4 linked regions of the Notamacropus eugenii genome follow. The protein of the gene in region 4 interacts with the protein of the main gene of each other region in a biochemical or structural test. Links are inferred from orthologs where the notes say so. Each region holds a gene or a part of one and is shown on either strand. Other genes may lie near its edges. The genes, in order: SH2B3, GRB7, PLCG1 and ERBB3.

Evidence for each region.
Region 1: the proteins of ERBB3 (region 4) and SH2B3 form a complex in vitro, tested with the Homo sapiens proteins (2 studies listed by BioGRID and IntAct, with this or other methods). The link is inferred for Notamacropus eugenii from reciprocal best matches to the Homo sapiens genes ERBB3 and SH2B3.
Region 2: the proteins of ERBB3 (region 4) and GRB7 form a complex in vitro, tested with the Homo sapiens proteins (2 studies listed by BioGRID and IntAct, with this or other methods). The link is inferred for Notamacropus eugenii from reciprocal best matches to the Homo sapiens genes ERBB3 and GRB7.
Region 3: the proteins of ERBB3 (region 4) and PLCG1 form a complex in vitro, tested with the Homo sapiens proteins (2 studies listed by BioGRID and IntAct, with this or other methods). The link is inferred for Notamacropus eugenii from reciprocal best matches to the Homo sapiens genes ERBB3 and PLCG1.

The regions. Positions count from the first base shown.
Region 1 is NC_092875.1:34,823,303-34,831,233, reverse strand, and holds the start of SH2B3 (SH2B adapter protein 3), read left to right. Parts: upstream 1-4,921; 5' UTR 4,922-5,008; exon of another isoform or gene 5,009-5,068; intron 5,069-6,092; exon of another isoform or gene 6,093-6,610; intron 6,611-7,931. UniProt on the Homo sapiens protein: Links T-cell receptor activation signal to phospholipase C-gamma-1, GRB2 and phosphatidylinositol 3-kinase.
Region 2 is NC_092873.1:355,266,916-355,274,366, forward strand, and holds the start of GRB7 (growth factor receptor-bound protein 7), read left to right. Parts: upstream 1-4,445; 5' UTR 4,446-4,519; intron 4,520-4,769; 5' UTR 4,770-4,783; coding exon 4,784-4,808; intron 4,809-7,451. Other genes in the region: MIEN1 (migration and invasion enhancer 1), read right to left, coding at 284-357. UniProt on the Homo sapiens protein: Adapter protein that interacts with the cytoplasmic domain of numerous receptor kinases and modulates down-stream signaling. Promotes activation of down-stream protein kinases, including STAT3, AKT1, MAPK1 and/or MAPK3. Promotes activation of HRAS.
Region 3 is NC_092872.1:423,910,360-423,917,861, reverse strand, and holds the start of PLCG1 (1-phosphatidylinositol 4,5-bisphosphate phosphodiesterase gamma-1), read left to right. Parts: upstream 1-4,499; 5' UTR 4,500-4,612; intron 4,613-4,690; exon of another isoform or gene 4,691-5,219; intron 5,220-5,543; 5' UTR 5,544-5,663; exon of another isoform or gene 5,664-5,666; intron 5,667-5,886; 5' UTR 5,887-6,031; coding exon 6,032-6,251; intron 6,252-7,502. UniProt on the Homo sapiens protein: Mediates the production of the second messenger molecules diacylglycerol (DAG) and inositol 1,4,5-trisphosphate (IP3). Plays an important role in the regulation of intracellular signaling cascades.
Region 4 is NC_092874.1:231,336,244-231,344,147, reverse strand, and holds the start of ERBB3 (receptor tyrosine-protein kinase erbB-3), read right to left. Parts: upstream 3,009-7,904; 5' UTR 2,657-3,008; coding exon 2,575-2,656; intron 1-2,574. UniProt on the Homo sapiens protein: Tyrosine-protein kinase that plays an essential role as cell surface receptor for neuregulins.

The sequences.
Region 1 (7,931 bases), on a different chromosome or scaffold from region 4:
GCTAAACTCAGAGCTAAGACAGACCTGGGTCCAAATCTTTCCTCAGCACCCACCAGCTATGTGATCAAGGACAAGCCACTTAGCTTCTCCCAGCCTCAGTTTCCTGATCTGTAAAATGGAGGATAATAACACACTACTTCTCAAGATCAAGTGATCTATCAATCAATAAACATTGATTAAGTGCCTGCTACGTGCCAAGCACTAAACACTAGAGGCAAAAAGACAATCTCTGAGATAACTTTTATAAAATACTTTGCAAATCTTAAAACACTACATAAATTCTAGTTATTATTATCTGGAAAAGTGGCAGACTATTGAAGGAGCCACTTTGGCCAGCAGAAAGGACACTGAACATACAGTCATGAAAGACTTAGATTCAAATCCTACATGAGCAAATCACTTAAGTCCTGTAGATCTCAGCTTCCTTAGGTGAGAAGAGGGGAGGATATTGATAGCCTGAGATTCTATGACCTTAGCAAGAGCACACAACTCTCATTCATTCATGAGAGCTCATTTCCCAAAGACTCAACAATCTTTTTTGCCTTTACCAAGAATGTTGGATGGCAGTTTTACAGGACCCTGACATCTTAAATAGGAACCATAGCCTGCCTTGAATGAGGATAGAATTCTGTGGGGATGGGAATTCCCATTTCTTTAGGCCCAGAATTCTAGGAGAGAGAGGAAAGGAAATAGGACAAGATTAAAAGAAATCAGGCTGGGATAGAGATGGGGGGAGGGGCGCACAGGGACCATAGTGGTGGAGTGGGGAGTGGCAGGGCTTCATTGTAAATTCCCTGAGGCAAGAAAGTTTTTATTTTTGGTTCTGGGACTCCACTGCCTTGCATGGTGCCTAGCACATAATAGGTGCTTAATTAATGCTTGTGGGTTGATTGATTGGTTGCCCAATGTCATACCACTCAGTAGAAGCCTGAGGTGAGTCCTATTATTCTATGATCTGAGGTTCTTTTTGGGGAGGAGAGTGGGGATAGACTTCAAGTAGTATTTAAGGGATATCCCAAGGGGTCCCCTCCAGCTTTGTACCTATGATGTGATACCTCCTGGAGAGAATAGGACAGTTAGTATTATCTCTACCTTCCAAGTGGAGAATAAGATGCCAGAGAAAACAATTCTTGTTTGCCCAGGATCAAACAGGGGCAGGAACTGAAGCCTGGCAGATCCAGCTCCATTGCTGAGATGCCATATGTTTCACTAGGGTAGACACAAGCAGCAAGTTTACAGCCCTAACCTCTTAACATTTCCCTTTTCTGAAGTTACAGGGAAAGCAGAAAGATCCCTGCTTGGTAGAGTCCCAGTTTTTACAAAGAATTCAGTGGCAGGCACAATTTTGTAGTTGGAGAACCTGAATTCCAGTCTAGACACTGTCACTTACCAACCTTTGTGATCATGGGAAAGTCATTGTATGTCACTTAGAAAGTAACAGCCTCAGTTTCCTCAACTGCAAAATGGAGGGACTTAAAACAACAATGACAATAATCCTAAATTATAATAAACAAGCTTGACCTCAGAGAACAGGTGAGAAATTGTACTTCCTGCCCTTAATTTTTCAGGTGGGCAACTATGGGTATAGAACATGGCATATACTATCTGATGAGGTTGATGTGTAAAATTGCTTTGGTTGATTTACTGATTTTTTTTAAAATAAGAGATGATTGGTTATATAGGAGAGAGAGGAGGGATATAATTCAGAAATGAAGGCGATTTAAAACAAAGGACATTTAATAAAATTAAGGTAGAAAAAATAAAATGGTATGGACCAAATGATGTCTAAGGTTCCTACCAGCTCTAAAACTGTGTGATGCTGTAGAAAGAGTGCTAAATGTCAAGTCCTGGGACCTGAGTTCAAAATCTAGCTCTTCTATTTACTGTCTTTGTGACCTAACAGGGAGAGTAATTAACATCTCCAGTTGTCAGTTTCTTCATCTGTAAAATAACCAGTCAGTTGACCTATAAATGCTTGTTAAGCCCCTACTATGTGCTACTCAATGTGGTTAAGGATTGGAGATACAAAAAGAGGCAAAATATAGTCCCTGCTCTCAAGGATCTTATAATCTAACAGGGGAGACAATAAACAAACAAATTTGTACACAAAAGCTATAGACAGGATAAACAGGAGATTAACAGAGGGAAGGCACTAGAATGAAGAGGGTTTGGGAAAGGCTTCCTATAGAAGGTGGGATTTTCATTGGGACTTGAAGGAATGCAAGGATTGGGATGGACTATAGTGGGGAGATGGTTCAGTCAGGCAGACTCACCAGCAGCTATACCAACAGTCCAGACCTGAGATGATGAGGGTCTGCATTAGGGTGGGGGCAGTACCAGAGGAGAGAAGGGAGCAAATTTGAGAGATACTACAAAGGTGAAATTTACAGGCCTTGGTAACAGATTCCATGTCGAGGATGGAGGGGAGGGGGCGGGGGCGGTGATGAGAGAGTGAGAAGTTGAGGATGATACCTAGGTTTCTATCTGAGGGACTGGAAGTATGAATGACGGTGCCCTCTACAGTAAAAGGGAAGGCTGAGTTTGGGACACATTGAGTTTAAGATGTCTACTAAACATCCAATTCCAGACACATGAAAGGTAGTTTGGAGACACGAGGCAGGTCAGTAAAGAGGGCAGAATAAGTAGACTGGAGAATCATCAAATAAGGGGGTTTGACTGGACCAGGGGTGGGGAACTTGGGGCCTTGAGGTCACATGTGGTCCTCAAGTGTAGCCCTTTAACTCAATCCAAACTTCACAGAAAAATCCCCTTAATAAAAGGATTTATTCTGTAAAACTTGGACTCAGTCAGAGGCCACACCTGAGGACCAAAGACACCATGTGGCCTTGAGGCCCCAGGTTCCCCATCCCTGGACTAGACTAAGATCCCTTCTAGTCCTAACCCTCTTGGGCAGCTTCTGGACCCCTTCTCAAAATCATGTTTTTAAATGCATAAAGTAAAACGCCTTCACATGGAATAAATGCAAAGGGGTCTCCTTGGGGTTGGTTGATCCTTGAGGCAGGAGGATAAATAGAAACCCTCTGGCGGGAGGAGAACCGATGCAAAGAAAGTAAGAGTTTGAACTTAAACTCTTTCCCCAGGTGCTCTGGTGAAGGAAAAACGATGTTTCCTACCCCAGGCCCTCTCATGTTATCACAATTTGTCACAAAGTCAAAGAATTTTGTTCCTTGGGTTGGGGGAACGATGCTATCTCAGATCCAGAGCCTGAAGGTTCTTTTGAGATCATCTACGCCAACACCACGGTTTTATAGAGGAAGAAACTGGATCTGAGAAATCAAGTGCCTGAGGTTACACAGACAGTTAATAGCAGAATTTGAACATAAATCCTCCGTGTTCTTTCCACCCAACCGCTGGGGCTTCTTGGAACCCGCCAAATAGGTGCTAGGCTGGGGGTGAGTGGCCAGGTCTGAGACACCATCATTTCAGTTTGTATCGCCAGTGCTTAGCCCAGTACCTGGTGCGTAGTAGGCGCTTAAAAAATAGTTGTTGGTTGGTTAAAAATTGATCACAGGCTCACAAGATTTAGGACTAGCAGACACCTAGGAAGTCTAGTGTCCGACCTCTTATTCTACAGAGGATGAAACTTAAGTGACTTTCCAAAGGTCACACAGGGACTAGAATTCGAATCTAGATCCCCAGACCCAACGCTCGTTCTGCGGTTGACCGAAGTCCCTCATCCCCCACCCCTACTGCTGCGGGCCAAGGCCCATTTCTCCAGATGGAGAGCAGTAAATTCCTGCACACCTGGCCTGGGGCAGCCCTGCTGGAAGGTGGGGTCACCTGTGCAGGGGACAGTGAAGGGCCTGGGTAAAAAGATCTGGGTCAAGTCCCTCCAAGGATCCCAAGGTCGGGGCATCAAAAGGAGCCCTCCTGGGGGTGGGGCACAAGGTCAGTATTGTGGGGAAGCACCCTAGGGTAAAGCTGCAGAGGGAGGGCGTTCCAGGGCAACCCCTCAGGAGAACTCTCAGTGAGGCGCCAGGTACCGCCGCACTGGCAGGTGGAATCGGGTGCTGGGTCATGGGGGCAGCATTGGGAAGGTGGGGCTCGTGAGGGGTGGGGGCAATCTCGCCACGTAGCCTGGCTCTTCGGACCCCTAAGCGCACGGCCCTGGGAGGCTTTCCTGTAGCTCCCAGCGACCAGAGAGAGGCTGAAAAGCGAAAATGAAAGCAGCCGGACAGGGTGCGGGGGTGTGCGGCAGGTCTTTGGGACGCCTTTCGACCTTCCCTGGGCTCCGCTCGGTCGCACTCCGCATCTCCTCCTCCACCTTCTGGCCGCTCTGGGGCAGCGGGTGCCCCAGACACCGAACTGGGAAGGCGGCCCCTGGGCCGGGCAGGTGTGGGGAGATCCCGCTAATCTGCTGCTTCCAAGCACTACCCCTGCTTAGAACTGCAGAGTCCCAGACCTGTAAGTCGGGGCTCCGACCCTTCCCCTGCCAGCTAATTCTCTCCCGAATCCGGCGGAGTCACATTTCCTCCACTTTGGAAAGTTTTCCAACTATTCCGCCCCCTGGGAAAGCCGGGGGAAATTATCTTCAGTTTTCTTATCTATTTGCAAGTTGGACTACCCCAGGAGAATGTAAACGCGTTGGAGCTCGGGGCTAGTTTTTCATTATTTCTGTATCCCCTTTCCCCCTCACCCGCCCGCACTTAGCAGGGGCAAAATAAATGCTCGTGGACTGTCCTGGGCCTGGCCCTGCAGGGGGCGCTTAAAGGCAGTGCAGAGCGGGGGCGAGGACAGCTGTGTACCCAGACTACACCGCCCCCTCTCCAGCCCCTGTCTGCCACTGGCACTCTTCCCCTCAGGGGAGCATCTCCACTTACCCAGGCAGCTTTCGTGCCTTCTTCTCAAGAGCGTCCATGGAGACCTTGCCAAATGCCCGGCACTGGGCGAGGCGCCCGGGAGGACGACACAAGGTAGAAGACACCACCCCTGCTGAAGGAAATTTTCAAAATATCCCGGGGAGAGAAGACTGGCACGTCTGAAAAGGGTACGTCTGTGTCCTGATACCAAGCAGAGCCAGTGAGTGACCTAAGCCACTAGAGAGTAGGTGAGTTGGGAGTGTGGCTGTAGGGGTGAGGAAAACCGGTTTCCGAGGTGGGGAGGGCTGGAAAGGGGGTGTAGGAATTTTAGACGGCCTTGGAGCGAAGGTTTGAGGTTGGGGAGGAGGGGACTACGGATGGACTAGACTGGGCAGGGCTCTGAAGGCCGACCCGAGGACTTTGACCAAGTTATTTCCTCTATACCTGGAAGAGCGAATAGCGAGTTCCACAGACATTTATTATACACCAACTGTGTGCGAGACCTTGGGGAAGGAGAAAAGATCGTAGAGTAAAAAGACCAGAGCTGGGACTCCAGCTCTGATGTTACATCAGTTGTGTGTCAACCTGCCCTTCCCTGGGCCTCAGTTTTCTTATCTGTGGAAACTGGAATATTGGCATTCCTTCCAGTGCGACATCTGTGAGACTAGTTAGGTTTGCCTGCGTTGGTCAGAGGCAGCTCTAATCCGGACAAGCGGCACTTGGAGCCAGGCGCCGCGTGTGGTTGCAGGGAGGGGGCGGTGACTCGATGGCTTCCCAGGGCCCAGGGGCCCTGACACGTGTTTCTAGGTGCCCTTGAGGGGTGTGGGTGGGCTGGGGGCAGCCCTCGGTGGAGGAAGCAGGGCACACTCAACTATCCTTCCCAGACCCCCTAGGGTGAGGGAGGGGCGGTGCTGTGGGAAGCTAGGGACCTTAACCCCGCAGATTCTAACCCCTCGGGGTGACCTAGTCTCGGAAAGGAGGCGTAGGCGCCCATCCAAATTCCTCCCCTCCGGCCCAGCGCCCCAGGGGAACTGCTTCTGCGTCCTCGGTTGGCTAAGCTTCCCGGTCTGGGGTGCGAGCCCGCAGTGACCCCCTCCAGCCCCAGCGCGCCCCAAATCCAAATCCGAACCCATAGCCGCTGGCAGGGGAGGGGACACGGCGCGCCTGGCACACACCCCCTGCAGTCCTCCTGGTCTCTAGTCCCTCGGAGTAATGACCCTTTTTACGTAACCGGCGGGAGGGAGAGAGGGAGGGACAGAGGGAGGGACAGACGGAGGGAGGCATGGTCTCTGCTGCCCGAACCTCCGCCACTGCTGCCTTCTGCTCCTTCTGTCCTCTCCGCCTTTCTCGGAGCTCCCGGCCCGAGCGAGGGCTCAGCCCAGGCCGCCGTTCGCGGCCCGCTCCAGCCGGGTTCGCGGCCGGGTCTCGCCTGGCCCCCGGCAAAGTTTGCTTGGCCCAGGGACTCATCTTCAACTGTCAAGCGCTGTCAGCGGAAATGATGAGACCTTGGCCATTTTCCGAGTCCGGGTTTCCTTCCTGAGCCCGGTGTGAGTTTGTGTGTGTGTGTGTGTGTGTGTGTGTGTGTGTGTGTGTGTGCGTGTGCGTGTGTGTGTGTGCGTGTGTGTGTGTGTGTCCGCGCGTGTGTTTTACGTGTGTGTGCGCGCGCGTGTGTGAGGAGACTGGAGAGAGAAAGAGAGCTTAAGGGGACAACTGGATTGGGGGGAGTGGGAGAGGATACGGATGACAAGTGAGACCATGGACCGGCTACACCCCCACGGCTTCTCTCTCAGGTAAGGCTCCCCAAACCTGGCTCCTAGAGAAAGGTCCGCCTCGGGGGGAAAGGGAGGATTTGGGGGACATGAGACTGATGCCCCGAAGGTGGTGGGCACTCCCTCATCCTCTTGTGCCCAGTCTTAGCTCTCCAAGTCCTCCGTTTTCGCGGTTCTCTACCCCCCCCCCCCCGCCCCAAGCTAGGGTGGTGCGGCTGAGAAGCCCCGGGCACCGACTTGGGACCGGACCCCATTCCTCTCTTTCGCCCACCACCCTCACACCCACGTGTTACAGCTCCAGGACAAGGGCGGAAGGGGTTTGCAAACCCGTGGGGGGTTGGTTTTTAAGGCACTGATGGTTTCTGGGTGGTGGGGGGGACACTGTCTGTTTAACACCCGCATCCTGAATCCCTGGGGCAAGGGAGTTAAGCTGACCAAGTCTTGGCAAAAGGGTCAGATCGTGGCTCAGGGAGAAGGTTGTTGGGAAGAGGGAGTCCTCTCTGCTATGAGTTTCTAGAAAGTGAAAGTATAGTCTGCCGGTCCCCGGGGATGCTCAGCTATTCGGTTTCTTATCCTATGCCCCTTTTCTTTTTGACAAGGAGATAAATCTGGGATGAGGTGGTAGAATAGGGCCCTGGACGGCAGGCCCTTCGCTCTTCCTCCACTCAAGCACTCTTCCCCATTCTTTCTTCTGTTCTCCAAGCACCTTTGTGGGAGTGGTAGCCTTGGAAAGGAGACCCAAGGAAAGAAAGTCCTCACCCCCACCAGTAGCAGCTGAATTATTTTCCCCAGGACCCAACCACTTTTCCCAAACCTGGTTGACAACTGTGTATGTCTCTCAGGACAGGCTACTGCTGTCTGTGGGTCAGAGTATGTTACCAGAGGTGTTTCCCCAGGAGAGAAGGTTGTCTAAGCTTTTCATCACTCCCCACAGAATAGGGTATTTTAGGTGATTGTCATGTGTCTCTCAGAAATCCCCTCCTGCCAGTCTTAGTGTGTTTGGGGGGGACATTTGAGGATTTGAGGAACTTGGAGTGGGGGGCGCACATCCAAGTCCTGGCTCATTTTCCTGATTACCATATTTCCTTGTTTCTCTTCCCCATCCTCTTTTGACATTTCCCCCCCCCCACCCACTTATGCCCCCTCCCCCTCTGCTCCCCATCCCCCAGCCTGGAGATAGTAGAGGAGGGGGCCCTGGCACCTAAATGCTTGCTGATCGACTGCCTGACTGCTGGGCCCCAAGATGAGGAAGGGGGAGTCCCTCGGGTGTCTTGGATCAGCCTAGAGGAAGAACAGGCACTCTACTGAAAGATCTTATCTCTGTTTGTCTTTTGTAGTCTGA
Region 2 (7,451 bases), on a different chromosome or scaffold from region 4:
GGGCCAGGAGGAGGGGAAGGGGGAGGAGGAGGAGGGGAGGAGGAGGAGGAGGGGAGGAGGAGGAGGAGGGGAGGAGGAGGAAGAGGGGGGGGAGGGAAGGAGGAAGAGGAGGGGAGGGCCAGGAGGAGGGGAGGAAAGGAGGAGGAGGGGAGGGGAAAGGAGGAGGAGGAGGGGAGGGGGAGGGAAGGAGGAAGAGGAGGGGAGGGGCAGGAGGAGGGGAGGGAAGGAGGAGGAGGGGAGGGGAAAAGAGGAGGGGGGATCCCCTCCCCCGAGCCCCTCTCACCAGTACTCCACCACGATGCGGACCCCACTGCCCGGCAGGGGCTCCTCGAGATCGGCCCCGGGCTCCCCGCTCATGGCTTCGCTCCGCTCGGCCACACTCCCCGCCGGGACCGAGCCCAGCCAGACGGGCAGACAGACCGGCTGAACACGGAGCCTGTAGACCAGGCGCCGCTTCCGGGTGTGACGTAGCGCCGGGTCACGTCACGCGCGCCCAGTCCGGAGGCGGGGCCGTTCTGGGGGCGGGGCCCGTCCGGAGGCGGGTCAGATCGGGGGGCGGGGCTAGGCCGGGGCAGGGCCCGGCTTGTCCTCTGAATGGCTGGCGGGGATGCAGCGCCCTCTGCTGTGGGGAGCTGGTACTTGGGTTGTCCCGGGATCTAGGTCTGGGTCTTGGGAGTCTGAAGCCCTGGAACTCTCCTTGCACTCTGGCCTCCCACCGCAAGCCCCGGACTTTCGTCTCCGTGCCTTTGTTCACGCTGTTCTCTACAACTAAATCATCCCCCGCGACCCTCTGTGGAATTTCTGCCCAAAGGTAGTGAATGGAATTTATAGGACGATTTAAAGTGCTCTACAAATATTATCTCACTGAAGACTCATGGTAACCCAGGGAGCTAGGGAGTATTAGTATCCCCATTTTACAGATGAGGAAACTGAGGCAGGCAGAGGTGGTGACTTGCCCAGGGTCACACAGCTGGTAGTATCTGAGGTCATGTTTGAACTTAGATCTTCCTGACTCCAGGTATCCATCTCACGACCTAGCGCTCTCTAAAAGTATCCACAAAACATTCTCCCACAAACCTGGGCCACATTCTCTCACTCATTGTATATGGCATCAGTGTCTACCCATGTTTTCAGGAATAGGAGGCTGGAGCTGTGATTATACAGGTACAGGGAACACTCAGGTGAGCAAACTCCCTCTACCTGTGCAGGTTGACACCTCTTTGACTTAGTCTTAAAGATTTGCCTAGAACACTGAGATAGTAAGTGACTGGCCAAGGGGTTCCACAGCCCTTATGGAGCCTTGCATATAAGTCTTCTGTCTTTAAGGTTAGCTACTTATCCTGTGGGTCAAGCTACGGTTCTCCATGCTTTAAAGCCCACATCTCCTCCCTCAAGCCTTCCCTCTTTCATCCTTGTACAAAAGCATCTTCTCCTCACATAGTCCTTTGTTCTGCACCTCTCGGATTTTCTTATCACAAATACACATTATAGTTGTTGAAATTTTCTCATTCCATTTTTAGGGACTGTTCCATGAGAGCAGGGACTGGATCTTATCTAAACTTTGTTACTTTCTATGTCTAGCAAGATACTCTGTATAAAGTAGGAACTTAAATAACTTCTTGTAGAGTTGAAGGGGGACCTTGGGAAAGCATCTTAATCTCTCTGGGACTGTTTTCTCTTCTGTAAAATGAGGCAGTTGGGTCAGACAGTTTCCTCAGATCTGGAATTTTATGGTTCTCTAATCTTATGAATAAAGAGAGAGAGAGAGAGAGAGAGAAAGTGAGAGAGAGAGAGAGAGAGAGAGAGAGAGAGAGAGAGAGAGAGAGAGAGAGAGAGAAAGTATGTGTTCAATCCTGGATCCCTCCAGTTACAGAAACAGTTTCCAGTTCTTTTTCATTTGAACCTTAGAGGGTGCCAAGTCCTCCCAGGTCTCTGTATCAAGATTTCCCTGGTGCTCTGTGTTTTTCTCCTCAGCATCATGCTCAAATTACACAGCTTTAAAGAACAAGCACTTACACCGTTGGAAGAAACAAATTCAACAAACATTTATTAAGGAGGTGGAAAGAGCCCAGGTACTGGAGTCAGATCTGGGTTTCAAATCCCACTTGATGATGCTTCCTACCTTCTTGGGCAAGTCACTGAACCTCCATGGGCCTCAGTTTCTTTATCTGTAAAATGGGGGGTTGGACCAGGTGGCCTCTGAGCCCCCTTCTAACCCATGCTCCAAAGTATTTGTTCAGAGAAGCACAAATACCAAGAAAAGGCAGGCTCCACCCCTGTCTTCAGGGGAACTGACAGTATAGGAGCAGAGAGAAGACACTTAATTAAAAATACATTTAAAAAAAGGAAAAGAAAACATTGCATTTCCTTACCTACAAAATGGGGGGTAATAATGCCTCCAAGTGCCTACATCACAGGATTTGTTTTGAGAATCAAATCAGATAATGGAAAGTGCTTTGAAAACTTTCAAATGCTCTAGCAATGTCAGCAGTGATGATGATGATATGAGATAATTATTATTAATATAGTAGCACAGTTCAGACAGGGCATCAACAGCCCTCAGAGGGTCTAGGAGCCACAGGGCTGCTAGTACTAGGAGGATGGTGATATCCAGGCTTATTTCACAAGCCACAGCGGGGGGGGGGGCTGCTCATTCTCTCCGTTTAACATTTGTAATGAGGTGAAACAGGTTACAAGGAAAATCCAGATGAGTCCTGCTGAGAAAAGGTAGGGTGGAATGAGTGGGAAATCAGAATTACCAAATAGCCAGCTCTAAGCGCTTTAGTCATGATAGTGTTTTCATTTTATAGTGAGCACATAGTAGGTGCTGAATTAATGCTTGTTGACCTGGATGGAGAGGATTCTGTGGGCTGGTAGGATATATATATATTAACCCACTATCTATCTATCTATCTATCTATCTATCTCTCTATCTCTCTATCTCTCTATCTCTCTATCTCTCTATCTCTATCTATCTATAGATATGTAGTGGGTTAATTTAGAGGTCGAAGGGACCTCTCAGAGACTATCTAGTAGAATTCCCCCATTTTTGTAATAAGCACATAGTAGGTGCTAAATTAATGCTTGTTGAGTTGGATGAGAGAGATTCTGGGGGTTAATTGGATATACATATGTTGGATCACAGATTTAAAGATGGGAAGGACCTCAGAGGCTATTTAATCCACTTCCTCCATTTTACAGATGAGGAAACTGAAGGCCAGATGAAGTGACTTGCCCAAAGCCATTTAGCCAGAAAGTAGCACAGCCAAGATTGAACCCAAAGCCCTGATTCCAAATACATTGGTTTTTTCTATTTTAAATACATTGTCTCCGAAGGAGCTCATTCTTGTTAACACTTAGCTGGCAGAACCAGCCCTGGTTTCATCTTTCAGATCCTGGGAAGCTCACCTCACCTGGCCCCACAATTATCATTATCACATTCCCTTCCCACACTGGTCAATGACTCCAATTGTCATACTCTAGAGATGGCTTCTAGTATTATACCTAACTCACTTAAAGATCCGTCTCAGGGAGGTTGATGGAGCTATAGGGGGTCAGCGTCCATTTTAATAGAATGTCAGAGATGGACAGGGCCTTTGGGATCACCAAGTCTAACAAGCGAACTGAGGGACCTGGATCCTGTGATTTCCAGCCATAGCTGGGAGTAGAATCCAGGGCTTTGAGGAGGGAGAAAAAAATACATTTATTAAGTACCTCTGTGCCCCAAATTGTGTTGATCTTCACAACTCTTCGAGGTAGGTGCTGTTATTATTTTCCTTTTAAAACTGAGGAAGCTGAGGCAGACAGAAGTTAAATGACTTGCCTGTGGTCACACAGGTAAGTGAGGCTAGGTCTGAACTTAGTGCTTCCTGACCCCGGGGCCCACAGCCCTATCCACTGCACCAGGGAGGACCAAGCATAGATGGCTCTGGAAAGTCAAAGTGGGGATCAAGGGCTGAATAGACCTAGAGAGTCAGGCACCTCCTAGACATGAAACCAGAATCTGCCCTCTGCCCCAGGGGTGGGGATGGTGGAGGGTGGCACCCATGCCCCAGACCATGCCCCCTGTTGGTTGGTTGGTTGTTCCCTCCCCCTTCTTCTTGGGAGCTGAAACCTTAGTGTCCCCTCTAGTGTGAATGGGATCTGCTGGCTGCTCTGGACACCTGGGCCCCTCCCCTGTTCCCTCCCCCCACCTCCTTGGACACCTAGGTCCCAAAGGCCTGGATAATAATAGCACAAACACTCCCCACCCTAGTGGCCGGAGGAGTATTCTCTTGTTTTTCTCCTCCCTCCTTCCTCCAGGCCCCGCCTCCACCTTTCCAATCCCAGTCACTTTACCGCCTCTCCAGCCTTGCCTCCCGGTTCTACCACCTCTCTACTCCCCTCCCCCGTCCTAGCACATTTTCTGGAAAGAGAAACTCAGGAATCTGACCCTGGTGTCCTGGACCCTCGGCTGTCACCAGACAGAGCCGGACGTTGGACCCTAGGCATTTGAGCCTCTCATACTGGGGCTTCCCAGGTAGGAAGAGAAATATCCAAGAAAACAACCTCCACTCACCCTTATCCTCAGTATCTTTGTAGCTGCTGTCTGTGCCAGGGCCCCTTACAGGTGGACTTGATGTCTAGTGGGCAGTGTCGTAACCCCAGCCCCGTTCCCATGATGGCAGGTGGAACCTATGAAGGTTGGAGGGCTAAGGAACCTGCAAAGGGTACTGGGGTGGCGGGGAGACACAGGTGGATAAAGGCAAGGTATGTCCCTCCCCAAACAGATGGCCCCAGCCAGATGTGTAGCAGCACCCAGGGTCCAGGTAAGGGCCGAGCTCGGCAGCTTTTCCTGTCTCTTCCGACATACCTGGGGACGCCCTCCTGCCCAGATCCTTCCTTCTTTGTTTCCGGCCTGCCTGTGTTTTCTTCTTTCACCTGCTTCTCCCCTCTTTCCATGACCTCCTTTGGGTCCTCTGTGACTCCTCCATTGCTAAAGGTCTCTTCTGTTTCTCTGTGGGGAGAATATTTGCCAGCATTGTGTCAGCTGAAGGGTGGCGGCAATAGGGAATCTTTTCTCATTTGGATGATTTCTGCTTCCCCTGGACAGCCCTCCCCCTTCCCTTCCTAAAAGGGAGATGGGGGTTGGAGGGAGGCATTAATTGGAGGCTCAGTGTCACAGTAAGCCCCCATTCCTGTTCATCTCTGCAAAGCTACTGTGAGCTTGCCCTGATTGGGATGCCCTAAGATTTGTCTAGAAAGGGGTCTATCTGGGCTTCTTGAAAACTTCATTTGGGGGATCAGTAAAATGATTAGGGCACACTGAATTAGGATTAGTTTTGGGAGGAGGGAATTAATTGTTCCTTCTTTCTCCCTAACTTTCCTTTCATTGCAGATGGGCTCAACACTGGTCCCCACCTTCCAGCTCCCCAGCAAAAGAGCTTAAATCTCAAGGATCTTGTTAACTGGGTTCTAGCTGTGTCAAAGAATGTGGGTGGAGGACAAGGGAAACTCAGCAGTGATACCCCAGTTTCAGGGCAGCTTTGCTGGGAGCCTATCCACCTCAGTCCACCAAGCAATGAAAGGAAAGTTGGGGAGAAAGAAGGAAATTATGAGGTTGGATGTCTGGGTCCCCGTGCTAGAGACTGGAGAATGGAGAGATGGGGGTCCTACTGCTTCATTTCCCACTGTAGGATGAGGTAGGAGAGCTCTCTGTACTCTGAAAAGGATGCAGGATAGTTGGATTCCATTCTTGCTATACATTCTTCTCCTCATGGGGAATTTCAATTTTACTTCCCTAGTGCAGCTTTAATAAAGACTGGGGATAAGAAATCTGTTACTTTTGGACTCTGCTTCCCTCCCCCCCCAAATCAGCTTAGGGGAGATGGGAGCTCTACCCCCCTATCCCCCGGGTAAATAACCAATAATGATTAACCCTAATCAAATTTTGGCCACTTTTGCATATTTTCCAAATTAAACTTTAAAAGAAATCCTCCCCCTTTCAGAGGCAGACACACCTTTGTTGTGAATATCTTCTTGTGGGTAGGTTGAACCTCAGTTTCCTGGTATCTTCCTACCTGATGCAAAGGTCACGGAAGATGTCATCCTGGGTTTCTATATTGTTTACCAGTGATCTCCCAAAGTTGCACCTCAAAGATTCCCCCTTTTCTTCCCAAATTTCATTTAAAGGGAGAATCTGGGATTCTTACTCCAAGGGGGAGATTCATTCCCCGCAAATGGGGATGCAGGGACTACCTCAGCCTATGGAGAGAAGGGAGGACCTCTACCAAATAACCTCTGGACCCTTTTCCATTGTCCAATCCTACTTCTTCAACCTTTACATAATTTTTTCCAATCTTTCCCCTGCCCTACAAAACTCCCAGTGTCTCCCAGACCTCCAGTGCCTCACTGAGAGTTTTCAAGACTGTGATGTTTAGAGTAGGACTTAGAATATTTAATATTGTGGTCCCTGACCCTCAGACTTTCCTCTCCCAGCTTTTGCTAGCCAGGTGGGGCAAGTTTCAGGAAGTAAACAAGGAGGCTGGGGAGAGAAAGGGGGTGGAGAAGAGAGCTTCCGGGGAACTTGGGGTGGGAGGGAAATACTTTTGAGGTGCGGAGAGCTTTGGCGGAGTATGAGCTTCTTTGGAGTACGGAAGTCTGGGGATGCCTGAGGGCAATTCCCCTCCTTCATGAACCTTTCCCCCCTTTGTTTGTATTCTCCAAACCAGTTTGGTAGGTGTGGGAGGCCAGACTGGCCATTCCGACTTTGCCCCTCTGGGTCTTGTCTCGTTCACCTCACCTACTTTCAGTTTTTCCCTCCATGCCATGATCCTGATTTCCCTGTTCCAGAAAGTAGGATCAGGAAATGAAGGGAGTAGGGAGGTGGAGAAACAACTGAGCCAACATTTCCTCACCCCTCCATCTCATCCCTGTGTCTGGTCTTCTCTCTGCCCACAGGCTAGAAAGTAATATACTGTAAGGTAGACTAAGTTATTTATCCCTTAAAAAGAGTACCTCCACCCTACCCTGTCAGCCTTTGTCCACCCCACCCCCAGATGTTGGCAGAACTATCTCCCCTTTTTTACCCATCCCCCTCCATGGGGGATGCCATTCAGTGGTGCCTATGTTCAGGGCCTGAGAGGGAGGGGAGTAGGTGGGTATGTTGGAGGGCCCTACTCCACCACCCACCACCCCCAACACATAATGAGATAAGGACATTCCCCCCACCCACCCAATTAGACTGAGGAAAGGACCTCCTAGGGATGCTGGCTGATTGTCAGCTTTGCCCCCTCATCTACAAAGCTCCTATCATTGAGTTTGGAGCATGTCTCCATCTCTTCTATGTTGTTTTGTCTAGGGTTATCCTTGTCTTAGCAACATCCCTCTCCCTGTGTCTTTTGGCTTTTTATGCTATTTCTGGGTCTTCTCTCTGCATATCTCTAGCCTTAGGAGTTCTGAACCTTTTATTG
Region 3 (7,502 bases), on a different chromosome or scaffold from region 4:
GATAACTTTGTCTGGAACTCTCTTTGGCTTCCATCACATCCTAGCTTGTAAATATATTATACTCACCTTTTTCATGTTGTGTATCTTTCTGGAGAATTCAGGTTTTTGGAAGGATGGAGAGTTTCCTTCTTGTCTTTGTAACTTCCATGCCTAACAGCGCCTTTATTGAAAGGTTATCAAACTGAAGTGAATTGAATGTGATTGAAAGTCTCTGCTCTGGACAACCTTTCCAGGTTTGTTGTATATTACTCAACCAATCCGCAAGCATTTATTAAACACTTACTAAATGTCTGGATCTGCTTGAGGCACCAGGAATATGAGGACAAAACCAAAATGGCCTCTGCCCTTAAGGACTAAGTTCTATTGCGGAAAGCATTCTGTGTGTACGTACAAATGCAAAATATATGCCAAGTAAATGAAAATAGAGGGAGGCACTAACAGCTGGGGTTGGACCAGGGATCAATAAGTGATAGCAGGTGGCTTAACCTGAGCTTTGAAGGAAGCTAAGGATTTTGGAAGACAAGAGTGGCCCATTACAATCATGGGTAACGATAACCTGTATTTTTATTTATTTATTTATTTTTGGTGTGAACGCAATTGAGGTTAAGTGACTTGCTCAGAGTTACACATCTAGTAATCGAGGCCTGAGTTGAACTCAGGTCCTCCTGACTTCACAGCCAGTGCTCTATCCACTTTGCCAAAAGTCACAGAAAGGATGTGGAATCTCATGTGTGAGCAAAGAAAAAAGGATCAGTTTGGGCTGACCAAAAAGTATGGGAAAGGGAATAATGTATGTCTGTAAAGGTAGGTTCCAGCCAGGTTCGTGTGCCAGAGAAGTTTGGACTTTAGCCTAGATGCAATAAAGAGTTACTGGAGCTTTTGGAGCAGGGGAGTGACTAGTCAGACCGGTACTTTAGGAACATCACTTGGGCTGTTGTATGGGTGGATGGAAGAGAAGGGAGCAGTTTAGGGAGGGAATAAGCAGTCACTAAGTATGTTCCACTGAGCTAAGTGCTTTGCAAGTATTATTTCATCTGGCCCTGTGAACCTGGACTGGAACTGGCCTCTAACCTGAGAATGGCCAGAGCCAGACAGAGCAAGCCAGAGGAAGGTGTCAGGGACTAAACAGAAGTTTAATTAATGTTAGAGTGAGGAAAACACTTGTAATCAGAAATCCCAAAGCAACAGGATTAGGCTTTTTTTTCTCTAAGAACTATATACAGATGCATATGATTGTCTTCCAAATTTATTTATCATGGAAAATCAGGCTTTGAGTATGTTTTGGTGATAAGTTCTCAAAATTGGATTATGACTTTATTAATTAAGGATTAATTGGATTTTATACATAAATTATATTGATAATGGTAAAGAAATGAAATTATTTCCCCATTTTTAAAAGTATCTGCCTTATAATTTAAAAGGCAGAAGAGTTCATTTTATAGTTGGACCCTTATCAATTTTATATATATATATATATAAAAACTGAAATTCTCTGAAAGACCAGAGTTATCTAAGAACCTCTAGATTTGGACTATGTAACAGAGAATATACACACATGTACGCATACATACACACATGCATGCATGCATACATACATACATAAACAGAGACAGACATCTATATTGTGGTCCTCACAGTGAGGAGCAGGGCTTGGATCATGATTCAGTAAAGTATATGGAAAAGGAGTAATCAGGACTGTCTACTTGGTGTTCCCCAGATCTCACATTCCACCTCAGTCTTTCTCCTTGAGCCCTCCTCAGTCTTAGACACTGTTATTGATCACTTTCTCCTCCTTGATACTTTCTTTTCTCTAGATTTTCAGCACTCCACTCTCTCCTGGTCTTCCTACTTCTCTGACTGATCATCTCTCTCCTTAGCTGGTTCCTCCTCCAGATCCCACCCTCTGACCATAGGTGGCCCTCAGGGTTCTGTCCTGGGCTCTTTTCTATATTTCTTCACTTGATATCATCAGCTCCCAAGGTTTGAATTACCATCTCTATTCTGATGACTCTCACAATCTACCTATCTTGCCTCACTCAGTCTTTGCTGATCTCCAATATTGCATCTCCAACCGTCTTTCAGACATCTCAGACTGGATATCCCATAGATGTCTTAAACTTGACATGTCCAAAACAGAATTTATTATCTCTCCCCCTCTTCCCCTTCCAGGATAACATTATCCTCCCAGTCCTTCTGAATTGCAGCTTAGGAGTCATCCTGGTTTTCTTCACTATCTCTTACCCATTCCCCTCCCTATATCTAAGTGGTTGCCAAGTCCTATTGATTTCACCTTTGCAATATCTCTTAATTAAGTCCCTTTCTCTCCTCTGACTGCTGCCACTCTAGTGCAGACCTTTGTCACGCCACACCTGGACTATTGCAATAGCCTGCTAGTGGGTTTGCCTGTCTTGGGTGAGTGTCTCTTCACTCCATTCCATCCTCCATTCAGCCACTAAAGTGATTTTCCTAAAGCACGGGTCCAGTCCTGTCACACACAAACCCCTAGCTCTCTGCCTCAGAGCCCTCCACCCCTCCCCCGCCAATAAATTCCAATGGCTCCCTATTGCCTCAAGGAGTAAATACAAAACGAGCCATTTAGCATTCAAATCGCTTCCTAACCTAGCTCCCTCCTGCCTTTCCAGTCGTTTTACACCTTACTTCTCTACCCTCTTGGATCCAGGTACACTGGCCTCCTTTCCATGAACAAGATCCTCCATCTCTCAGTTACAGCCATTTTCTCTGAAAGTACTCCATACTTTCCCTCTTCTGCTGACTACTGACCTCCCTGCCTTCCTTTAAATATCAACTAGAATCCCACTTTTACTGGAATCCTTCCCCAGTGGCTCCTAATTCCAGTGCCTTGCTTCTGTTAATTATTTCCTATTATCCTGTATATAGCTTTGTATATATTTGTTTGCATGATGTCTCCGCCATTAAATTGTAAGTTTCTTGGAGGAAGGAACTGTCTTTTGTCTCCTTTTGTATCCCCCAGCTCTTAGCACAGTACCTGGCACATAGTTGATGTTTAATAAATGTTTATTGATTGATTAATCGTCCCTCCAGGCCTTTGCCTAGACTATCCCTTAAGTCTGGAATGCATGACTTTATCCAGCCTCTTGGAAATCTCTAACTTCCTTCAGGGTTCAGTTAAAGTGCCATTTCTTACTTGAGGCCTCTTCTGATTCCCTTCCAGGTGCTAAAGCCCTTACCCTCAAATTACTTTCTACTGATTTTTGTCCAGCAGAAGACTTGTTCCTAGAAAGCAAGAGTTTTTGTCTTTGTTTTCCCAGGGGCCTAGCCCTGCAAGCCGGCAGCAGGTGAATAGTTGACCATAAACAAATAAATGTTTGTTAAATGAATTTAGGAATGTAGAAAATCTTCACCTCAGCCTAGGGGGTGAATTCTTCACTTGGAAGTGTTCTACACATTGACTTTTGGATGGAATTTCCATATTGACTGTGGGAGCGCCCTAGGCACAATGTAGTACTCTCCCATTGACCTGGAGTTGGATTAAACCAGGAAGCTAGGTGGTGAAGTGGATAGAGCGCTGGCCGTGGAGTCGGGAAGACTCACCTTCTGGAGTTCAGATCTGGGGTCAGTTACTAGCTAGCTGTGTGACCATGGTCTTCTTCAGCAACGAAGAACGAACATACAAACAGCTGTGTGACCAAGTCACTTCACCCTGTTCGCCTCAGTTTCCTCATTTGTAAAATGAGCTGGAAAAGAAATGGCAAACCATTCCAGTATCTCTGCCAAAATGAAAATAAAACAAAAATCAAGTGGGGTCACAAAGGATTGAACAACTGAAAAATGACTGAACAACAAAATGATTGAACCCCACCTTTGACATTTTTGGTCCAAATCTATGACCAGGAGAGACCACAGCGGTCTGGAGGATAGAGAGCTAGCTATGAGTCAAGTTCTGACAGATACATATTGCCAATTTGACCCTGAACCAGTGTCTTGGACAGGTTTCTTAACATGGGGTTGGACTCCATGGATAGATTTTAGGAGGACTGTGAACATGGATGGAAAAAAAAATATAATCTTTGATTTTAACTGACCCCTAAATAAAATTTCCTATAATTATGAATTTTTAAATAAAATATTTTGAGGAATTCATAAGCGTCACTAGACTGTCAAAGGAGTCCACGGCACACATCTAAAGATTAAGAAACTGAGAAGGCGCCTTCCCTATTTCACTGAAATCACAGATCCAGTCCCTGACGACCACCATAGTGGGGAAAATGCGAAGGCAGGCCTTGAGCCGGGTACCGGGCGGGAATTAATCAATCAATCCGCAAACCCCAAGGGGCGGGAGGAGAAGGTAGGCAAAACCTAATCTGGACAATCAGGGAGTGACCTCAGCCAGGGCCGCCTCCAACACTCAAAGGGAAAAGGGGGTGGTGGAGGTGGAGAGCTTGTCAATCAGTTACCCCCCTGGCCAATCAACAGGTGGCCCCGCCTTCCCAAGCCCCTTTTCCGTCCTTTACTCCACCCTCTTACCCCCCTAAGAAAAAGAGAGAGAGGGTCGTATCTGTGCTCTGCGACCAGCTACTCGACACGGTTCTCCTCCCTTTCCATTTTGCAGAGCTGAATTAAACGCGCTCAGGTGAGCGAGGGAGGGGGCGTTGTCTAGGGGAATTCCCCCTCCCTCCCGGAGTTAAGCCTGGTGTCCCTTTAAGGGGCTGGGTTCCCCCCACCCCCCCACCCCGGCCGCTTTGTCTTTCTGAGCGCCGGGAAGGGGGAGCGTCTTCGTTCCTATTCGCCCGCCCGGCCCCTCTCCCCGCTCCCCTCTCCCTTTGCAGCTAGAGCAACGAACACCACCGGATGTGGGGCGGGGGAGGCCGGGGGCAGCGGGGGCCCGAGAGCCCGGGGGCACTTAGTAGACCCTGCCGGGCTCCTGCCCCAGAGACCGAGAGAGAGAGAGAGAGAGAGAGAGAGAGAGAGAGAGAGAGAGACAGAGAGAGGGGGAGGGGGGGGAGAGAGAGAAAGAGAGAGGAGACAGGGAAAGACTGGCAGACAGGGAGAGGCCGGGAAGCAAGGGAGGCAGATTGGGAACCGCCCTGCAGCTCGGCTCCGTTCTCCCCCACTTCTTGAGCCAATGCACGTGTTGATTTAGGGGCAAAAGACCCTCACTCCCCATCAGCCCCTTCCTCCCCACCCCACTCAAGCAGAGGGAAGAGAGAGAGGGAAGACAGAGGGAAAGGCAGGCCCAGGTAGCAGCTGTGGCCGGGATGTGAAACTGACTCAGGCTGTAGGGTGGGTCTGGGTAGTTGTGCGACTGTTTGTGTAAGACTGTCCCAGGGACTTGTGTGCCACTGTTTGTGTGGTTCTGTTACACTCTGTGACTTCCATTATTTGTACGTGGCTGTTTCTGCGTGTGGGGGGTGAGGGGTGGGGGGTGTGTGTGGCTGTATTTTAGGGTGTACGAAGGACTATTGCAGGGTGTGCGACTGGGTTTGTGTTTCGGGGTGTGTGTGTGAGAGAGAGAGAGAGTGTGTGTGTGACAGAGTGTGAGACGCTGCTCTGCTCTTTTTCAGCCATTACTTCCTGAGTTTTCGGGACATCTTATCGGCCTCGAATCGATGCAGAGGCTTGCAAGATCAGAAGACTGACAAGTGGCTAGGGTGCCAGACTCGGACAGTGCGGGCTGTTGGAAGGTGGTCCGTAGGACTACCCTCGGGAGGCTGGGAGGGAAGGACGCCTCCTGGGTGGGGGGCGAACAGCCCCGCCTGCTGGGGGCGGGAAGGGGGGGGGGTCTTTGTTCGGGCCGGGGAGGCGGGGTCTGCGCGGGCGGGGCTCTGGGGGAGGGGGCATCAGTCTCCAGGCGCCTCCTTGGTTAACTCGGCCCCTTCCTCCTCCTCCTCCTCCCCGCCCCCGCAGGAGTCGCTGCCGCGGCGCGGATTGCTGGATTGTTGCTGGCAGACGCAGCGCTCGTCCAGACGCTGCCTCCTGAGCGCCCTCCGGGGCTCCCCGGCCTGCAGTTTGAGACAAACTCGGGTCTGGAGGAGAGCAGGAGATCCCCGGAATGATGGCAGGGGTGGGGGCCCCCTTCGCCAACGGCTGCGGGTCCTGCGCCCCGTCGGAGGCCGAGGCTCTGCACCTCTGCAGGAGTTTGGAAGTGGGCACCGTCATGACCTTGTTCTACTCCAAGAAATCCCAGCGACCAGAGAGGAAAACCTTCCAGGTCAAGCTGGAGACCCGGCAGATCACGTGGAGTCGTGGGGCAGATAAAATCGAAGGAGCGGGTAGGTGTTTGCGGCCCTGGCCCCTTTGCGTACCTTCTCTGGTTGGAGGAGAACTCGGATCGTTCCGTCCAGCTGTTTGTCCAGGGCTGGGGGTGGAGATATTCATGCAAACTTTGTGCGTTTCTGGCTCTCTCCCGCCGTCGTTTGCTGCTTCTCAGAATTTGGTTGCTTTGGGGAGGGGGCAGGGGCTAAGGGCCTTCACCCTTACCCAAGCGATTTTTATTCGTCTCGCAGGCAATGGATCAGGTACTGTCTGCTATGACGATTCATCCAGGGAAAACTGGGCCCAGGTGCTCTGAAAGACACCTTCCCACCCCCTTGACTATAGGCCCAGGGCATAGATGTGTGTGCTTCTCTCCTTCAGGATAACCAGAGTGTTTGGGGGGGGGGGGGGAGGAGCGGGGGAAATGAATCCCGGGGTTGGGGGATAAGGATTACCGCGGACGTTCCCCCCAGGCAAGAAGAGGGGTAGCTTTGTCTCCCGGCGGTTCTCAGCTGTGGGCCAGAAGAGGAAAGAAACAGCCACATTGTATCGCTTAGGTTGTTACATTGTTACTGTTAGAGTGGGGGGGGGGGGGCAGGGAGGCCGGCAGGCCAGCTTGTTGGCGCCTGCCTTCCCCACCTCCCTCCTCTTCCCGATCCCAAAGGGAAGGAAGCTGTGTTTGGGAAGGCCTGGGAGGGAGAAAAGAGAAGGCCTCCCCTAGCTCCCTCCTTCCTGCTGCACCTTTTGTCCTAACACTGAATGTCAGCCTAGCCTGGGTCAGGCCCACTGAGAGGGGCAGGGGGGAATTTCTGGGAGTTAGGCCCAGTTTATAAGGAAGGCTCCCTGGCTAGGAGAGTGGGGTACCTCCCTTAATTAGGGTGCATTCTGATCAATCCAGCCCTTCTAGTCTGGTAGACTCTAAGGAAGCATACTCCTTGTCAGTCCAAGGGGGTTGGCTTCGGTCTACACTCATGTAATTGGCTCCTTCATTGTAGGGTGGTAGTTGGAATGATATCCAGGACTTTTCTTAGAACTGTATCTCCCTCCTTCCAGATGGGAGCCAAGAAGTGATACTCAAAGGAGATGCCCAAAGAACTTCCAAGGGGAGGTTGTACCTGGTGGGAGAAAGAATCTCAGAATGGGCAGTTAATTAGGAAGGAGTGTCTGAAGTGAGTTGGGGATTCTGGGCCTAAAGAGGGAGAACTTTGGCTGTGGCAGACTACAGAAGGGCTGAGGCCTCTTTTTCCCTTGTGCTCGATCTGGGCTGA
Region 4 (7,904 bases):
TTGATGTAGGAAATGATGAACAATTCAAGGTATCTCTGCCCCCTTGATCTCTGGTCCCCTCCCTTTTCCAGTGGGTTAAAGTCTATGTTGGGAGTTGGGGGCAGGAGCAGAGAGAGCACCTGTTTGCAACTTCTCTTTCTTGGGGGCACTGCCAGCTCATCAGGAAGCAGGCATGAAGGCATGTGGGGAATGGAAGCCAAGGAACCCCCTCTTGCTAGTTCCATACCAGTCCTGATCCCTTGAAAGATTCCCCACACTACTCTCCTGTTCAGGATTCCTTTACTGAGAAGGGGGAGGGGAGAAAGGATGGAGCTCAGCATGAACCCAGGAATCAACATTGTCATTTTGGAAGGGACAAGAAGGAAGGCTGAGAATGGCATTGCTTCTGTCTGAGAGATGACTCATACACCAGCAAGTTAGAACCAAGTGCCTCTACCCCTCTTGCTAACAAGGACACCCCTTCACCAGAGCCTTCCTCCATGCCTATGAATCAGACTTGTATTTCTGTGTGCAGAGATGTTCTTGAGAATATGTCTTTGAGAATAGTACAAGTTAGTGTCTAGAGAGCTAGCCTCAGAGTAAGGCAGAGGTTCAAATCCAGCCTGTGACAGACTGGTTGGGTGACTCTGGACAAGTCACCTTAACAACTCTTTAAGATTGTAAATGGCATAAGAGTTTTTGAGCTGCATCAGTAGAGAATTTCCTCACTCCCATAGGAAAGACACAGATTTTTTTAAAAAAATAAGTGAGAATATATGATGTCTTTGCCCCTGCTCTACCTCTTTTCTCAAAGCCTCCCCCCACCAGCCATAACCACTCCAGGAATGCTTTTGTACCCTGGTACATTGCCTTGGGCTACTATGTCAAACGACATCCCCCAAAATCTTTTACAGTCCCCACAAGACAATCACATTAACATATATGTTTATGGATTCTTGTGTGCTTGGGGAGATGGGACAGAGAATTAGAAGTCATTGTCTCCTACCCACAGAAATAAAATCCACCTCACATAAAAAAAGGGAGAGGAAAGGGCAGTAGATGAGGGTGGGAAAGAGCAGGAATGAAGGACCAGGAGCCTGAAGTCAGTAGTGCAGTCATTTCTAGGGAGAAAGTAGGTACTTGTGGTGGGTTGGAATCATCCAAGTCCCCAAATTATCCAGGAACATGGGGAGAAGTTATCAATCAAAGGCCCTCTTAGGAAGACAGTATTGTGGAAAAGGAAGAGACTGTTCTCTCCTACTACTCCCCCTGGGGATCCTCAATGTGAACCTCAACTCCAACATTCCTCTACCCCTGACCAGCGTTAGGACAAAGGGAGCATAGAGAGACCCAGACGAGGCCGGATGCCCAGAGGCTGAAAATCCAGATAAAGAAAGGCCTGGCCAGAACTAACCCCCCCCTTCTTCTCTCCTCCCCCAGGAATAGATCCAGGGGCCAGAACTCCTGGTTTCCTTGCTGGTAACTTCTCAGATTCCCAGTCTGAGGGAGAGGTAGCTACTGTCATCCTTTTTCTGCAACCACTACCCCTTCCTTATACCAGACTCCTCCTCAATTCTTCCAGCTGGGAGTGTTCACAATTCAAGGTCCCAGAGACTAAATTTAGACCCAGCAACTGTGGAGAAACACAGGTGTTTTTCCCACTCCCTTCACCCCTACTGTGAGTGGGGCACAAAATTCACCAAGCCCCAAATTGAGAGAGATGGCAGTAGAAATGTCTAATTCTTTGATCCCCTTAAATCCCACCAGCATTCTGTGATCAAAGATACCCAAGAAAAGGGGTTGGGGGGGAGGAACAATCCTTTCAGAACTGTCTCCTTAAGTTCTGTCTATAAGAGGAGACAGACTGTCTAAGCCTCCTTTTCCTTCACGTCTCCAGCGCAAGCAAGAAGTTTTACAGTGGTCGGATTTGCTAAAGTCTAGATTTCGTGAGTAGCTTGGGGTGAAGCAGACAGGAGTGGTTTTCTGAAGTTCTTTATCACTATCACCTGGACTTGGCCCTCTGGCTAATCTCTGCCCAGCCCGCCCCCACCTCCACCCGCACCAGCACTCACACAAACAAGCAAGAAAGGGGAGGGGCCCGGACCTATTTTTCTAACACAAGGGAACAACTGCCCCCTCCACCCCCCCCAAATCCTATTCTAGCTCCTCCCAGAGCCGGCAAAACACCGAAACTGGCGGTGCCTGAAACCGGGGGAACCAGGGAGACGGGACTGGGAAAAGAAGTTAGGCTCCAATTCTGATTCACTTCTCGAGAAAATATAACACAATACATCATCTCTACAAATTGGGACCCCCAGAATGCCTGGGTTCCACCAGATTGGGGAACTGAGAAAGCAATCGCTTCCCCAGGAGGATCCTCAGAAGGCGGGCGGGAGTGGAGGGTTGGGGGGACGTCCAGCCAGTTCAAGCTTCGAGCGCTTTAGAGCGGGGCCACCCCGAGGGTACTGAAGAGGGGCTGCAGGCACTGACCCCTCTGTTTCCGAGGCTCGCAAGCCCCCGGGTTCCTCAGGCTCCTCCCTGCACTTGGAGCTCCCGGCAGCACCCAACCTCCCCTGTCCCGCAGCCCCCGCTTACCTGCTTGCGAGCTGCCCACCTCCGAGCCCCTGGTCAGGTGGAGGAGCCAGCCCAATACCTGCAGCTCCAGGAAGCCCTTCATAGCTGCTGCGTGCCGGGGGTAGGGAGCCCGGGCCGGGGCTCCGAGGCTAAGACATCGGGATTGAGAAAGGCACCTGAGCCCGGAAGGGAGCAGGCGGAGGCGCAGTCCGTCCAGGTAGCAAACGCGAAGTGGTGCTGGATCTAGAGCTGGAGCAGGGACCGGGGAGGGAGGGCAGGGGGTGGGGGGCGGAGGGAGAGAGGGAAGGGGGGGTGCGTACGTGTGTGGGGAGTGGGGTGAGTCACGGCCGCTCCCGGACCCGCCAGCGCTGGCAGCGCCTCCGACTTTCGCAGGGTTGAAGTTCGATCTCGCCCGATTCCACCCGGCTCGTGCTGAGCTACCCTGCACCGCCCGCCCCGCCTTACGCGGGCCCCGAGTTCATTGGCCAGACGGTGGGAACCCCCTTGCTCCGCCCAATCAGAGAGACGGAGAGGCTCACCCTCACTTTCCCCGAGGAGAGGGGGAGCAGAAAATTCCTAAGACTTGCCCCCACGCACACCCCCGTGGATAAAGAAGGGATTCTCAACCAGGCTGGTCCCGCCCATTATGTAAATCCCACCCTCCTACTTCCCTGGCCGGTTGGTCCACTTTGGTGTTTTTATCCCTCTTGAGATGGGGGGGGAAGGGAGCAGCTTCTGCCTCCTGCTCCTCCCCCGCCTCCCTTGGGAATGAGACCCCACGACTGAGCCTTCTGGTCCGCAGGATCCCTAGCCTCTCCGAGGCTCCGTGAAATTGCACTGTCTCCGGATGCTTCCCCCCTCCGAACCCGGCGCCTGCCCAGTCTCCCAGGAGAATTTGAGGAGGGGAGGGGGTACCAGTCTGGGAACAGACCCTAAGCCCCGCCTCTCCATTCCCACTCTGAGAAAGGGAAGGGAAAGCAGGGGAGGGGCAGACCCACCCGGGCCAGGGTGGGGCCAAGACTCAATGCACCTGTTGCTGCCTGCCCCTCCCCTACCCCCCTCTTCTGCCCCCCATGGCCGATCTAAAGGACAGCTGCCTCTCCGCCATCCCTTTATGAATTCTCCCAAGTGTCCCAGAGCTTTAGTGCCTTCTTTTTGGTGGGGGGAGGGGATAAGGGGGCCCCAGACAAGTTAGACTGGTTGGTCTCTATCACTACTGCCATCACCCTAGTACAGGACTTTGTTCCTACTCACCTGAACCATTTGAACAGCACTTCCTGAGTCCACTTCTCCTCTGGCCACTTTTCCTTGTAAACAAAGTCGCTTCTTTTGTTTACTAATCTTTAGTGTCGACCTGTTGCCTACCAACTGAAGTCCAAACCTCAGCCAGTCAACAAACATTTTAAAGTCTGTACTATGTGTTAGGCTATGTGCTAGAAGCTAGGGAGAGAGATACAGTCTCTGCCCTCCAGATGAGTGAATACAACTATGAAATGATGCCAGTGATTGGAGAAATTAGGAAAGGACTCTTGGAGAAAATAATAATAATCCTATAATAATAGCAACATTTATATAGTGCTCACTATGTGCCAGGCACTGTACTTTAAAGTTACTATCTCATTTAATTCTCACAACAACCCTATGAGGAAGGTACTATGATTATCTCCATTTTACAGATGAGGAAACAAGTAAACAGAGGTTAATTGATTTGCTCAGGGTCACACAAGTGGTAAGCGTCTTGAGGTCAGATCTGAACTCAAGTCTTCCTGACTCCAAGCCTAGGGCTCTATCCCCTGTGCCACTTAAATGTTCACTTTAGTTTTGAAGGGTCTCGAAAGGAAAGAGGTGAGGCAGGACATTCCAGATATAAAGGACAGCCCCATGCAAAGGCATGGAAGTGGGTGGTAGAATACTGTATGTAGGGAAAAACTAAGAATAACTAAAAACATATATATATATATATATATATATATATAACATGTTATATTAGGTCACAATGTAATATAAATAATATGTATTATATAACATAGCAAATGATATAAGACACAAAACATAAAAAGCATAAAAAGTAATACCATTAGATGGATGGATGGAATAAGTATTGAGTGCCTACTACGTTCAGAAGCAAGTAACAGCTGTATGGCTCAAGTCCAGGAGCAAGTGGAGCCTCAGTTCCAGCTTTTAAAAGTCTGAATCCTGCAAAGGAATAATCAGAGCAACTCTGAACCAGCAGACGTTCTTAGCTGGTTTCCCAGCTCCAAATCCAGGTAAGAAATTTACACAGCTCAAATTAGGGAACAGTGATCAGACTTTGTCCTGAAACAGATCACTTTGGGAACAGTAAACTTTTGTAGATCAGAAGCCTAAGCTGTTCCTGACATCCTGGAATAACACAGAATTTAACACCCCAAGAAAGCAACAACACCCCGGACATTTCCTCCAGAAGAGAGCAGAGCCTAGCCCTAATATCAACTCCAAAGTCAGGAAGTAATATGGGAGAATGAGCAAAAAAAAAAAAAAAAAAAAAAGGATAACATTGTAAAATGCTATCATAGTGACAAAGAACCCTAAAGACACAAATCCAGAAGAGAATGACTCCAAAACATCTGCAAAGAAAGTCTGAACAACAACACAAATTCAACTAGATATTTATTGTAGCTTATTTTGTGGTGGCAAAAAGTTTGAAGCTGTGGGCATGCCCATCAATTGAGGGAATGGCTGAACATGTGATGGAATACTATTGTGCTGTAAGAAATAATGAAGGGGTTGTCTTCAGAAAAATCTGTGAAGATTTACATGAACTGATGCAAAGCGAAGTGAGCACAACCAAAAGAACAATCTAACAGAAACAGCAATATTTTAAAGATAATTGAGTGTACAACTTAATAATTATGGTTAATACAAATGATCTAACACAGTTTCAGAGGAGTCATGATGTAAAATGCTTTCCACCTCTAGATAAAGGATTTGGTCTTAGAGTGCAAGTTGAAGCATGCTTTTTTCCTTTCTTTATTTTCCTTGCCTTTTTGGGGGTGGGTGGGAAGGGAACATGGTGAATGTAAACATGTTTTAGATGACTTCATATATAATTCATAATGTAACTTCATATACAATGGGTATCATATTTCTTGCTTTTTCACTGGATTGGGGAGGGGTGGAGGCAGGGAGAGAACTTGGAGCAGAAAATTGAATTTTAAAAATAAATTGAAAATTCTTGTATTAAATGAAAAAGAGTTAATAGAAGTAGAGTCAAGATGGCAAAGTGAGAAATAGCATTTTTTTTTGCCTTAGTTTCTCTACCATCTCCTCCACAATGACCTAGAAAGCATGCCAGATTAAATTCTGAATGAGAAAGCCAAGAAAATTTCACAATGAATAATTTTTTCTCAGTCCATGGCAGCTTTGGAAGATAAAGAGGTCTGCGGACACTGGGGTGGAGGGTGGTCTGGAGCTTAATAGAGCAACAGGTAAAAGTAATTGTGGTTCATGGCAGTAGCAGTGGCAGAAAGCAGCCCAGTGCCGTAGGATGGTAAGGGGACTGAATACCTGGGCAGAAAGAGATCCTAGGGCACCCTTGATCTAGCTTTGGGAGCAGGAATGGTTGCCATTTAGCATCTATGTTGCCCATTATTTATTTTGGGGTAACATTTCTAGGGAGGAGAGGAGTCTTCATGGTCAGAAGGGAGCAAGCGTCTTACCTGTAAGGTAGCAAAGTTTAAGGAGCAAGGAACAAGTTTCAGAAAAATAGCTGTATGTCTCTGAGCCCAACAGCAGAGTTGGGGGACTCAGTTCTAGCCTTTAGTTCTGCACATAAGCCTGCAGTGGAATAAACCAAGGCAGAGGGCCAAAACCAAAGGGGAGCCAGTGGTTCAGTCATTCTGAACCTGCAGAACCTCCTAGGGAGCTATGACTGGGTCTGGCAGCAGTCTGTGGAAACTCAACCACATGCAAGCCAAGAGATCCCAACCAGGTCAGAAATTTGCAGAGCATAGACCAGACTTCTTCTTGGATCACATCACTGAAAATTTATAGAGCCCCCAGACTGAGCTGTGAAAGCAGTAGAAAGACATAAAAGATAGTTCACACTTGACATCTCCTGCCACCCCAGAGGTAAGCAGAGCCCAATACTAACATAAAGTCCAAAGTCAAGAAGTAGACTGGAAAAATGAGCAAATAAAAAAATAATAACTTGATTGCAAAAAAAAAAAATGACTGGTGATAGGTGAACTCAAAACATAAACATAGAAGAAGAAAATGACTTGAAAACATTGACAAACAAAGTCTTGAAGAAAAATGCATATTGTATACAAGCCCATCAAGAATTCCTAGAAGAGTTTAAAAAAGTGATTTTTTTTTTTAAAAAGCAAAAACAAACTTTTTAAAAAATAAAATGGGAGTAATGGAGAAAAAAATTGAGAATAAAAATCAGAACAATGCAAGAAAATTATGAAAAGAGAATTAACAGCTTGGTAAAAGAGCTGCAAAACCTCACTGAAGAAAATAACTCCTTAAAGATTAGAACTGGCCAAATGGAAGCTAAAGACTCCACAAGACATCAAGAAATGAAGTGAAAAGAGCAAAACAAATAGAAGAAAATATGAAATATCTCATAGGAAAGGCAACTGACATGGGAGATACATTGAGGAATCTTTTGAGGAAATTGAAAATTTGAGTATTTATTGGAATAAATTGAGGAATATAAGAATCATTGGACTACTTGGAGCTTCCTGGAAAGTCATGAACAAAAAAAGACGTTAGGTATTATATTTCAAGAAATAACAAAGGAAAACTGCCTGTGGGCAGTTAGAACGAGAGGGCAGAGTAGAAAGTGAAAGAATCCACTGGTCATTTCCTGAAAGAAATCCCTAAATGAAATCTAGAAATATTATAGCCAAAATCCAGAACTCCCAGGACAAGGATAAAAGAGTGTAACTAGCCAGAAAGAAATAATTCAAATACTATGGAGCTACAGGATCACACAAGATTTAGCAACTGCCACTAAATAGGATGGAGGGCTTAGGACATTACATTCTGAAAGGCAAAGGAGCTATGATCACAAAATAAAAATTAATTTTCCAGCAAAACAGTATAATTCTGCAGGGGAAAAATGGATATTTAATGAAATAGAGAACTTTCAAGCATCTTGATGAAAAGAACAGAAGAGATAATTTGATATTTAAACACAAAACAAGCACAGAAAAAGATAAACACAAATGAGAAATCATAAGGGACTAGACAAAGTTGTTTATGTCCTGTATGAGAAGGTGACACATGTAATGCCTCAGAGCTTTATCATAACTAGGGCTGTTACAGTTTATGTAGACAGAGGAAAAGAAGGGAAGGAACAGGAA